3 linked regions of the Canis lupus familiaris genome follow. The protein of the gene in region 1 interacts with the protein of each later gene in a biochemical or structural test. Links are inferred from orthologs where the notes say so. Each region holds a gene or a part of one and is shown on either strand. Other genes may lie near its edges. The genes, in order: TLN1, ITGB1 and RET.

Evidence for each region.
Region 2: the proteins of TLN1 (region 1) and ITGB1 form a complex in vitro, tested with the Homo sapiens proteins (3 studies listed by BioGRID and IntAct, with this or other methods). The link is inferred for Canis lupus familiaris from reciprocal best matches to the Homo sapiens genes TLN1 and ITGB1.
Region 3: the proteins of TLN1 (region 1) and RET interact in a surface display test, tested with the Homo sapiens proteins (2 studies listed by BioGRID and IntAct, with this or other methods). The link is inferred for Canis lupus familiaris from reciprocal best matches to the Homo sapiens genes TLN1 and RET.

What each region holds. Positions count from the first base shown.
Region 1 is NC_049232.1:52,545,247-52,548,893, forward strand, and holds part of TLN1 (talin-1), read right to left. Parts: exon of another isoform or gene 3,417-3,647; coding exon 3,319-3,416; exon of another isoform or gene 3,176-3,318; intron 3,043-3,175; coding exon 2,913-3,042; intron 2,807-2,912; coding exon 2,654-2,806; intron 2,389-2,653; coding exon 2,246-2,388; intron 2,141-2,245; coding exon 2,013-2,140; intron 1,283-2,012; coding exon 1,222-1,282; intron 587-1,221; coding exon 482-586; intron 116-481; coding exon 1-115. UniProt on the Homo sapiens protein: High molecular weight cytoskeletal protein concentrated at regions of cell-matrix and cell-cell contacts. Involved in connections of major cytoskeletal structures to the plasma membrane.
Region 2 is NC_049223.1:3,966,468-3,970,114, reverse strand, and holds part of ITGB1 (integrin beta-1), read right to left. Parts: intron 3,336-3,647; coding exon 3,180-3,335; intron 2,190-3,179; coding exon 2,094-2,189; intron 1,348-2,093; coding exon 1,258-1,347; intron 1-1,257.
Region 3 is NC_049249.1:4,128,513-4,132,749, forward strand, and holds the start of RET (proto-oncogene tyrosine-protein kinase receptor Ret), read right to left. Parts: upstream 2,889-4,237; coding exon 2,840-2,888; intron 1-2,839. UniProt on the Homo sapiens protein: Receptor tyrosine-protein kinase involved in numerous cellular mechanisms including cell proliferation, neuronal navigation, cell migration, and cell differentiation in response to glia cell line-derived growth family factors (GDNF, NRTN, ARTN, PSPN and GDF15).

The sequences.
Region 1 (3,647 bases):
TGGTGAGGCTCCATTCCTGGATCACCTCTTTGGTCTTCTCGTCCACCCGCATCACACACTCCTTAGTGATGCCCAGAAGTCTAGGCACCAGCTTGTTCTTTCCTTTCATCTTTTCCTGTGAGGCAGAGGCTGTCTTTGGTATGGTGGCCAGAGATATCAGACAAGGAGTGAATGAGCAGATCCTATCTAGACCACCAGGGGGTGCTAAGGATTGTGGGAGAGCCAAACAGGGGTTGGGGGGGTGGGGGCGCTGAGGTGGGGGTGGTGTCTGCAGGGAGCCACAAACTCCTCTAGGGAGAAGCAAGGGCACAGGGGCAGCAGCCAAGTGAGCAGTAGAGAGGGCTGACAACCCCACACGTTTCCACGGAGAATGGGACTCATAGGGATGATGGAAAATGTGACCAAGGGCAGGGCCAGACTTTGAGGGGAAAGGGGAAGAATGGGAATAAGGCGGACAGACTGAGAAGGGTCTGTCACCCACCTTCACCAGAAAGAAGGAGACACCATAGGTCTTGAGGGAACGGGCTAGCTTCACGTAGCGAACCTTGGCCTCGATCTCACTCATCTGCCCACAGTTCTTGTGTGCCTGAGTGGGAAATGGGGAAAAACGTTTAGCAAAACATGGGGGGATGGTGTCACAGACAAGTTGCGACGTTAACCACAATGGGAACGTACTGTGGGAGACACAGGAAAGGTTAGAGGGTGCAGGGTATGAGAAATGAGAGGGTGACAGGATGGGGGTGGACAGAGGATACACAGAAGTGACACTTCAAGGAATATAGTTAAACAACTTGCAGATGTTCTGGAGACATGAACAGATAAGTAGAAGGTCAAATAGAAGGCTTTTTGGGCTGAGTACTCAAGAAGTGGGGATAACACTTTACATTTGTACAAAGATATACTTTTCACAGTAACTTCAGGCATACTGTCTCATTTGATTCTCCTATCAATCCCACCCAGGGCAGGCACTGTCATCCCGAGTTAGAGGCAAAGAAAAGAAAACAAGAACACTGAATTGAATTCCACAGCAAATGCAGTGATGGAGCTGAAACGAAAAGCCCAGGTCTTCTGCTTTCTTGGCACAGGAGAGGTGGGAGAAGAGTTTGATGGGTGGAAGCGGGGTGGAAGGAGATAAGGAAGGGGCAGGGGTCCATTCAGTCAGTAGGATTAAGTAGCAAAGCTCCCAAAGCATCCCAAACACTTTCCCCTACCCCCATTCACCTGGAAGATCTTACGCTCTCCCTTCTGCTTCACATACTCCTTGGGCAGGAAGTCCTTCAGGCTACACCAGAAAAGGGAGGGTCAGCACGGAGTGGACAGCATCAGGGATATGTAGGCCATGGACTGTGGGCCTGGGGGCATGAGGAAATGTCTAGGACAGTGTTATCTTTGGGGAGAAGGAAGGCTCGAGGGAACAGAGTCTGGATTATCCGTGAAATCAAGATGATCTAGCATTAGCTCTTGACTGCAGCCTGTGTCTCTCCCTACAGGGGAAGGGACTGAGGGAACCTGAGTTGTAGGCTGTCCCTGAGGGAAAGAGGGTCTAGAGCACTACCACAGGAAACCAGGAGGAGAAGGAGCTCAGTAGGAGAATGACCATGCACATAGAAAGCTAAGCAAGCCACGCTGAACTCTACACATTCTGAGGAGTATCAGTGGATGAGACTTGTGAAGCTTTCTAAGTCTGTGTTCCCTGGGAGGAGAAATGTACTGTTTTCCTGTGGCTACTGCAGTGAAATTCTTCAGAGAAGCTCAAAAAAGTTCCATGCTTGCTTGAGAGGTACGGGGTAGAGGCAGAGATTCTGGACTACATTCATACTCCACATGGGACCAGTGAGGAGGTATATAGCTGACGGCAGCAAAAACGGTACCCATGTGGGTCAAACCCTGGGTGCATCGGAAGAGGAAACAGAGAGAGAAGGCCTGGTGGGGGTGGGGGTGGGCAGGACTGTTGAGGTTGCAACGGCAGTAAGTCCTGGGCCCTAACAGGGTGTGGGATGCAGGTCACTCACTCAAGGAAGCCAGCCTTGTGCTTCTGCTCATTGTGGGGCCCAAACTGGATCTGGCATTGGAAGCCAGCAAACTCACAGGCCTTGTCGAAGGAGACAGGGTGGGAGCCATTGAGGATGTCATCTCGTGCCTGGAGGACACATGGCAGCAAGTGTTGTGTGTGGGTGTGGGATGCCCTCGCAGTGCCTCTGCCCCCCTCCCTACCTCCCTTAGCCCAGGCAAATCCTCTCCACACCTGCACATAAAGGAGGTTCAGCTGTACAGGGTCCCGGGAGTCCACATTCTGGTCTGAGTAGAAGAACTTCCTCCGCAGCAGAAGTGTCTCATGCTCCTCCACCCCCTGTTCCCTCAGCGTGCGGCCATGGTCCAGCCAGTTCACTGGGACACACAGAGTCCCCTCAGTGCCAAGCCCCTAGGGTGCCTGTGGTGTCTGGTCTCTGGCTTTTTGTTTGTTTGTTCTTTATCTCCTACCTTCTCTTACCAATAAGTTCTGAGTGTAGGACTTTATTACTGATGCATCCTGTGTCTAAAACAGTGTCTTGCAAAAGCAGGTATTCAATAACTAACCAATCAACAGTTGCCCCCACCCCCACCCCTTTCCCCCAACCATTTCCAGGGCCCTCTTTTTTCTCTTTCTGCTTACACTCATCATCTGTGTGCAACTTCTGCTTTAGTTTCTCCATCTTCTTTTCATCTCGCAGCAGTGTCTTATCTTTTCGTAAGGTTCCTGTTACCTCCTCCTTTTTCTCTTCCATCAGCTCTCGAACCAGGGAATATTCATCATGGTTGGTGATGCCTGGGGGAGGGCGAGGGATTGGTTGCATCCTGGGCATGGCATACTTGTTTTTTGGTAGAGCTGAAGCCTCCATTCCTGAGCCCTCTGCCCCACCGAGACCCCTTACCAATGCGGGCACAGATGGTCATGAGCATGTCGGTGACAGTCTTAGAGTCATCCACCATGATAGTCTTCACAGTTCCATCGAGCATACGGATTTTCAGGGGCCTCTGTTTCTTCCTGTACTCCATGGTGTCCTGTTGGGGCAGGAATAGGAGGAGGGGCCCACTTGAAGCTGGAGGTACTACTTCCTTTTTCCACAGCCAGACGGGGGGGGGGGGGGGGGGGGTGGGAAGGTAGGTGACTAAAAGCAAGACTGTGGTGGCTCACTCAAAAGCAGGGTAATTTGATTGCCTGTGATAAAAAGCCTGGAGAGGGTCAGAGACAACAGGTATAGGTACTGAAAACAGGAGGTGAAGTCAGGGATGCTGATGGAAGAGAATGTTGGCGGCCCTTGCTGAAGTGATACTCACCCCATTGCGGAGCATGTAGTAATCCAAAGCTTTCCCGGCCTCCAGCCATATACCTTTTTTGGGGTCATCATCTGACAGGAATAGCCCAAAGTCGCTGGCTGAAAGAGAGGTTGGATTCCCTCAGACTCACGAGGACCCCAGTGTGGCTGAACAGCTGCTCTGTTGCCCCTTACTATTTCCCCAGGGCCTGAGGGCCTAAAGGGGAGAGAGGGAACCATGGAGCACAGGCCTGAGGGATGTGTAGCCTTGAGGGACAACGGGGTCATCCCTTAAAGCCAAGAGCCTGGGAACAAGGGACTTTCCCCCACCTGCCACCGGGGTACTCAGAC
Region 2 (3,647 bases), on another chromosome or scaffold:
AAAAACAAAACACAAACAAACCCAAAACCCTGAGTATGAATGACTCAAACCAGTGTGTTTTTTTAGAATTATCAGATCACTCAGGAAAAATGGAGAAGGGTCAGCAGCAAGCTGTCTCTTAGTCACATATCTACATGCGAGTTAGGAAAATATGCAATACTCTATTAAGATAGAGAACAACTATAGGGAAGACAGAGAACAACTGGAGTCTTAAAAATCTTTGTAATAAAAAACCTCTCGGAACGCCTGGGTTGCTCAGCGGTTGAGCGCCTGCCTTTGGCCCGGGCGTGATTCTGGAATCCCGGGATCGAGTCCCACATCGGGCTCCCTTCATGGAGCCTGCTTCTCTCTCTGCCTATGTCTCTGCCTCTCTCTGTGTGTGTCTCTCATGAATAAATAAATAAAATCTTTTAAAAAGAAAAAAAGAAAAAAAAAACAACCTCTCTGTCTCTGTGAGTAGGGTTTTTCCGAAACATTTTGGGAAACCCGGGCATGAGGTAAAAATTATCTAAAATTCAACCTGTCAAAAGGGTGAGGGGTAGACACACAATGGTTACCGATGTCTTCTGACTACTTAAAATGGTTATTCACCAATGCTTAACAAGCATCACTAAACATACTCAGAATTAGAGCTCTAGACAACTCAACTTCCTTCCATGTGTGGGGGAAAAAAATTTTACACATCTTTTTAAAACAGGTAAGTCAAATATATTTACATATGTACGTATTTTATGGCATGTGTATCTCTTGAGAATAGAAAACTATATCTCTGAATACATAACAAGAAAAGACTTGACAAAAAAGCTTTTCCAGAATAATTCAGCAAAAAAGATGAATCTATAAAAAATAATGCGGTGGGCAGATTGAGGTAATCTTATACATTTAAATATAAGTTATGTTTATAAGTTATTGTTTATATCCTTGTATATATCCAGTATATACCTTACATATTGTTATAAGTTATTGTTTATATCCTCAAACAAGTGAATTGTTTTCCAACAAGAAAACCTTTTTAATGACATCAAACAAGACATTTAGAAACCTTCCCCACCCCAATTATCGTATTTTTGCTCTGCTCAGATTATAAATAATTTGGTTTTTATAGAATATAAAATGTTTTCTTCCAGATACGTAAAATGTTCCTTTACTTTGTCCTCTGAGCTTACTAAATTGTAAATGAAAGGAGTTTTACTTTCTTTGGTAAATTATTCTCAAGAGGGTATTGTCTAAAAGAGATCTTATTTAGAATATACTTACGTTGTAGGCATCAATAATCAACTGAATTACGTTGCTAGAATTTGCAGATAATGTTCCTACTGCTGACTTAGGGATCAAATTTTTCAGTTCCTGAAATTAAAATATAAAACATGTAAGGTACAAATATTATTGATTCAACCAATTAGCATTTACTGAGCATGAAAAAAAAAAAAAAACACACAAACTTAAGTATGAGCATCCTAGCCATTTCCTAAATAACTTAAGGAGTCAAATATAATAAAACTAGTTTTATTTGTGATTAAAAATTAATATAAACCACTACTGTAAAATCCAGTCAGTCTGGTTACTAACACTTTCCTATATTTCAATTCAGACATATGATTTTGCCTAAAGACTAGACATGAAGGGTCTAGAAGCTGGTTTTATTTATTTATTTATTTATTTATTTATTTATTTATTTATTTATTTATTTATTTATTTATTTATTTTTAAAGATTTATTTACTTATTTATGATAGACCGAGAGAGAGAGAGAGAGAGAGAGAGAGAGGCAGAGATACAGGAGGAAGGAGAAGCAGGCTCCATGCCAGGAGCCCAACGTGGGACTCGATCCCGGGACTCCAGGATTGCACCCTGGGCCAAAGGCAGGCACCAAACCGCTGAGCCACCCAGGGATCCCTTAATTCATTTATTTATGAGAGAGACAGAGAAAGAGGCAGAGACATAGGCAAAGGGAGAAGCTTCCTCCTGGGAGCCAAATGCAGGACTCCATATCAGGACTCTGGGATCATACCCTGAGCCAAAGGCAGACACTCAACCACTGAGCCACCCAGATGCCCACTAGTTCCTCTTTTTATCCCATACATACATACTTACCTTGTAAACGGGCTGAAATTCTTCTGTAACTGCAAAAATTGTCTGAATGTTATTTTCACTTAGTTTCTGGACAAGGTGAGCAATAGAAGGATAATCCTAAGAAATTAAATAAAATTTAGTAAGTAATTACCTCCAATGTATTCCAGTTTTTCCATACTTTTTGAAAATAATAATTTGCATATATAACTGGATTACTTACACAAAACTGCCTGAAATAACACAAATAATTGCTGAGGTGGGAGGTGTGTACATGTGGGTGTGTAATCTTCTATCTTCCATATACATGTGGGTGTGTATCTTCTGTATGTATAGAAACTTCCACAATAAAAAGGTTTTAAAAAGCAAGATCTATGTATAGTAAGTGTTAGAAAAATGAAAGTAAAGAACTGCCAGTAACTACAGGTTGTATCATAAATCACCAAAATTCACTAAGGTTTAGATTTCTTGTAGAACTTGAATAATTTGCCAGTCTTTGTTTTCAATAAAAGGAGAGTACCTACTTTCAAAAATCTTATATAAATAAGATGAAGAGTATAGGCCTTTACAAATTATCTGTTTAGAAATGTCAAATTTGCTATCAAATGATGTGTGCAAAGACAAGAAACACAGCGATGTGCTGAGAAACAGAATAAGAGTGTTCAAGCAGCTCCTTTCACCGACTGAGGCCCTTGTCTATGCAGCAGAAAGCAAACACAAAACACATCTTCAGACATAGCAATACTAGCTTCCTTGCATGTTAGGTTAGGGGTTGTACTTACCAAAATAACAAACCCTCAAACCTTGTAAAACTTGTAAGCCAGTCACCCACAATACTTTTTTTTTTTTTTTAAGATTTTATTTATTTATTCATGATAGACATAGAGAGAGAGAGAGAGAGAGAGACAGAGACACAGGTAGAGGGAGAAGCAGGCTCCATGCAAGGAGCCTGATGCGGGACTCAATCCCAGGACCCCAGGATCGCGCCCTGGGCTAAAAGCAGGCGCTAAACCGCTGAGCCACCCGGAGATCCCTACCCACAATACTTTTAGTATTAAACACCAAAATTCCACAGGAATCCATTCAATATGTAAGGAATTCAACACTCACATAATAATGGCTCATTGTGTACACATCATTTTCCAGGTGACACTGTCCATCATTTGGTAAAACAATGCCACCAAGTTTGCCATCTCCAGCAAAGTGAAATCCAGCGTCTGTGGAAAACACCAGCAGCCGTGTGACATTCCTCCAGCCAATCAATGACTTGAAAAGAAAAAGATTTCAATTTATAAATGCTATCCACATCACTGTACATAAAGCTATAATCCTCACATAGGCTCCCATTGTACTTTTAACCTCATTCTATACTTTCTTCTTAGCTTCTCTTTTTACAGTGCTAATATTGCTGCTGATACAGAGCAGAGAGCATATGCAGAGCCCACTGCATGAGGCTCCTCCACCCCTGAGGAAAAAAACTGTCTTGCTTAGTTGTCCATTTCTCTCAGCTCTTTTTTTTTTTTTTTTTTTTAATTTTTTTATTTATTTACTTATGATAGTCACAGAGAGAGAGAGAGA
Region 3 (4,237 bases), on another chromosome or scaffold:
TCTGTAAGACATCATGCCAAAGAGAAGAAGCCAGGCACAAAAGAATACACATGGCATGATTCTAACTAATTTTAGGTAACAGAAAGTAGACTGTCTACCTTTTAGGGGTGGGAGGAGGCAAAGGGCTGGAAAGGGCAGGAAGGAACATTCTGGGGAATGTAGGTCCCACGTCCTGATAGCAGTGTGGGTCTTAGCTGACAATGTACAGCTAAGAGTTGTGCATTTCAACTCAGGTACATTTTCCCTAAAAACCCGATCACCAAGGGACTGTGGGTAGAGAGAGCCATGGTTGCCTCAAGGGAGAGGATGTTGACCATGGCCTTGCTGGGTTAGCTCATGTAGGACCTCACTACTCTGCTGACTTTGTGTAAGTTCAACATTTCTCATATTAAAAGGTTTTTAAAAATAGAATTTCCAATTAGGATAAATAGACGAACAATGCTTGAAAACCACTAAAACCCTGCAAATACTCTATAATGCATAGAAAGTACCCAATACACAATGCAAACATTAGAACTACTTGTGGATTTGCTCTCGTGTAGCCAATTTATCTTTTCAATAAACTTGTTTCTACCTAGACCCCACTCTTCTCATAGCTGTTGGGGTTAGCAGCCAGGCCAGTTTGCACCAACAGAGGACACTCCCAGCACCGCTTGGGTCCCCAAGGACACATTTGGGTATGGGGAATCAAGTGCCAAGTGGAATCAGGTGAAGACACCAGGTAAGCCCTTTCCAGGTCCCCAGACATGATAAAACAATAAGCAAACAGGAAGGCTGCCTGCACTGTGGAATGTTTTCCAGGATGACTTCAAAAGGCAGCCAAGGCTGCGAGTACCAACTTGGGGGGAAGCGTGCATTTGGCCCCACCTGCTCCCTGCCAGACAGGCCTGGACTGGGAAGGAGCAAGAGGGAGAGGGAGAGAGGGAGAAGGAAGCGAGGAAAAGAAGGAGAGAGAGAAGAGAGGGAGAAAGGGAGAGAAGGGAGATAGATGCTCTGGCCAGAGCCAAAGGCACTAACCCCACACTAACCACAGAGATGGAGAGAAGTGGGGTGGAGGCACGACAACATTCATAGAGTGGCCTTTCAGACCTTTGGAAAGCCCTTCTCTAGGAGAGGTCTTCTTGGAGTGGGACCTAGAATTACTTGGTCCCTGTGGGTGCAGTTCAGAGAGGCCCTCCAAGGAGCCTGCCCTGTGCTCTGAGCTAAGGTTTCTTGGGGGGAGGATCTACTCCAAAGTGTCACATTGGCTGCCATTCAAGGGGGAGGCAACTTATGGAGCGCCATGAAGTCACACTGGGGAGGGAGTGCTGAGACCATGCTTCCCCCACCCTGGGGTCTCACCAGCAGACACTATGGGCAGGAGCTAGCTTGAATGCCACCTGAATCTCCCCACATCCTCCCCACTGGCCAAGAGGACACAGGTTCTCAGATGCACTCAGGGCTGACCTCCTTGGGATTCAGTGGCTGACAGATAACAGGGACAGGAGGGCAGCTCAGAGAGCTGTAATGGCTGCTGGCTTCTTGCTGCTCCTGCTGAAGGGCAGCTGAAGACACGAGCACAAGGCTGAGCTGAGTGATGGGCCATGGCTGATAGGTCCTTGGAGGGTCCCTGCACAGGTAGGATCCTTCCCAGAGGCTTGCATGTCCCATGAGAGGCATTCACACACCTCACAGAGTGGAGCCCTAAAGGGGACCCTACTGACTCATCAAGTCATGGCTCAGACAAAGACAGAAATGCTCCCTGTGTGTGAGGAGCCACCCACAGGGAGGGGACAGTGGTAGAGGAGTCCCAGATGGGGCTTGGCAGCCACTTCCCACCAGGAGTGTGCCAGAGCCTGCTCTGTGCTGCCTAGCAGGGTGACTCCTGGCTTGTGCTCCTCAGCGGGGCCATCCAGTCTCTCTGATATTATAGGGGCTCCCAACCCATGGCAGCATTCCAGCATGGCCAAGTCCTGGAAGGCAGGTTCAGAAGGGGAATCAGAGCCACGCACAGCACTGCTGCTCCACAACAGGGGACTGGATCATGAGCAGCAGCCAGCTAGGCTTCCTTGCCATCCAACATTCCATGAAGGTTCCACAAGTCAGAGCATCCAGCAGGAGCTCAAAGTGAGGGCTGGGGCAGGGGGTGTTAGGGAAGGTGATATTCACTGCCCCACGGACAGAAAGAATGACTCTCTTCCCCCCACAACCTTCTGAAGATGCTGGCCCCCTGCAGGCTGCTGCTGCCTCTCAAAGGTGGAGTGTAGGCTGAGCACAACCTGGTTGGATGGCTCTGGGAGGCAACACAGGACAAGGCTAATCCTCCATGCATACATGTTGACCTTCCATCTCTCCACAGCTCCAGACAGACAGTGTCAGGACCACTGCTTCGCAAACACAGACAATGAGGCAGAAAGAAAGTTTATTTGCTCAAGGGTATGCACATAAGACAGCAAGAGAACTGGAATTTGTAATGCAGTCTTTTCAAAGAGGCACATCCTTCACCAGCGCACTCAGCTCCCTGGGCCCCCACAGCGGCCATGCTCTTGATCCCCAGCTGACCATGCCTGGGCCCCCACTGAGGTAGCCCTGCCTGCTGGGACAGGCTTTACTCCCCTATAAAGCCTTGAGCGGTGATTAAGCCTTACTGCAAGTCAAGAATATCAACTCGAGGGGAAGACAGTCCTAATGACCCACCAACTCTCTGGGCAGCTTGGCATTTCTGGGCACAAAAAGGAGGAAAGACTGACTCCCAGTGGTCTTACGGGGTGGTGGCCAGGGGCAGCCTGGACTTGTGACACCAATACTAGGTCAATACCAGGTAAGGAGGGAGGTCAGCCCAGACAAATGCTGCCCCTACCCTGGCAGAAGGGCACGAACCAACCCTTAATGATCCGAGATGCTGCCATTGTGCCTCAATTCTCAGCGCTGCAAGGAGTGCTACCAGTCCATAAGACTGGACATAGACCAGGCAGCCTGTGTCTTCCAGAGCCTGTGTCTTAGTGTGCCTGACTGGTCCAGGGAGAGAGGTGAGGTCTGTGCTCTTGCCCCCAGAGGACCAGCGAGGGGACTCTGCATATCCACAGAGCTTACATCTTGAGGAGGCAACACAGTCTCTGCCAGCACCTTCTCTCAGGACACACATTCCTGGCCCTGGTCAGCAGAATAGAACTGAGTAAAACTTGGCTGTTCTTGGAGCCACTGTGGGGAGGGTTTCTCAGGTGGCTCTGGTGACACCTGGGGGCTGGAGGACAGCAGTCAGGTCTGGTCAGGGGGATACTCTACCCAGAGTGTCCTACCCTGCTGGGTAGATAGGAGCAGCCCCAGAACAGGGCTCCCTTCTGGGGGAGCCTCTTTGACTGTACAGTGGTACAGGGGCTAGGAGGCAGGAGATCCCAGCTCCCAGAGCTCCCCACCCCCGAGCTGGTACAGTTCCACCCATGCAGACCACATGTCCAGGAGAGAATGGGCCCTGCTTGCTCTCTCTCACAGAGCCCAGCCCTACAGGATCCATGTGGGGCCCAGGCGATTGCTGCCAAAAGGGGTTTGTGGGTCGGGCAATGATTGTGAGCAGAAACAGACTTACATGCACTTAAAATACCTCCCAGGTGGTCCCTGTAGCTGGGTATAGCTCCCTTAATGCTCCGGTATGTCACAGACACTTCTAGATGGAAAAACACATGGTCCAAGGCAGGAAACTGAGGAGGAGGGTGCAGGGCCGGCTTCAGGTGGGCACAGCCTGGGCAGGCCCAAAGGGATTAATGCCCTGATGTCACTGTTTTGAAATTCGTCACAATTCTAGAACAAAGGGTCTGGATCTTCATTCTACACTGGGCCCCATGAATGATGCAGCCACTCCTGGCAAGTGGATGAGGAGAGCCTGGGATGGGCCACTGGTGTTCATTTTCACAGTGTGCCAGCCTCCACTGTGTCTCAGTTTCTCCAGCTGCAAATCAGAGAAGGGCATGCTGGGAGAGGAGCAGACAGGGCAGGTACAAGCAGGCCTCACCTTTGCATAGGTATGTACTCCACAGAACTCATACTTCAGATTCACAGCTGCTGTGTGTAGATCCCTTTACTACCCCATTTCACAGTTTGGAACACTGTGGCTGGGAGGTAAGAATCTCGGGGTTTGGTACAATGGCTAACAAAGTGGCAGTGGGCATCAGACACTGGAGTCAGTCAGCCCACCAGGAGGCTTGCTGCTGGCCCTTTCTGCCAGGAAGGGCTGCCTGGCCTGTGGGCTCAGACCTGCCTC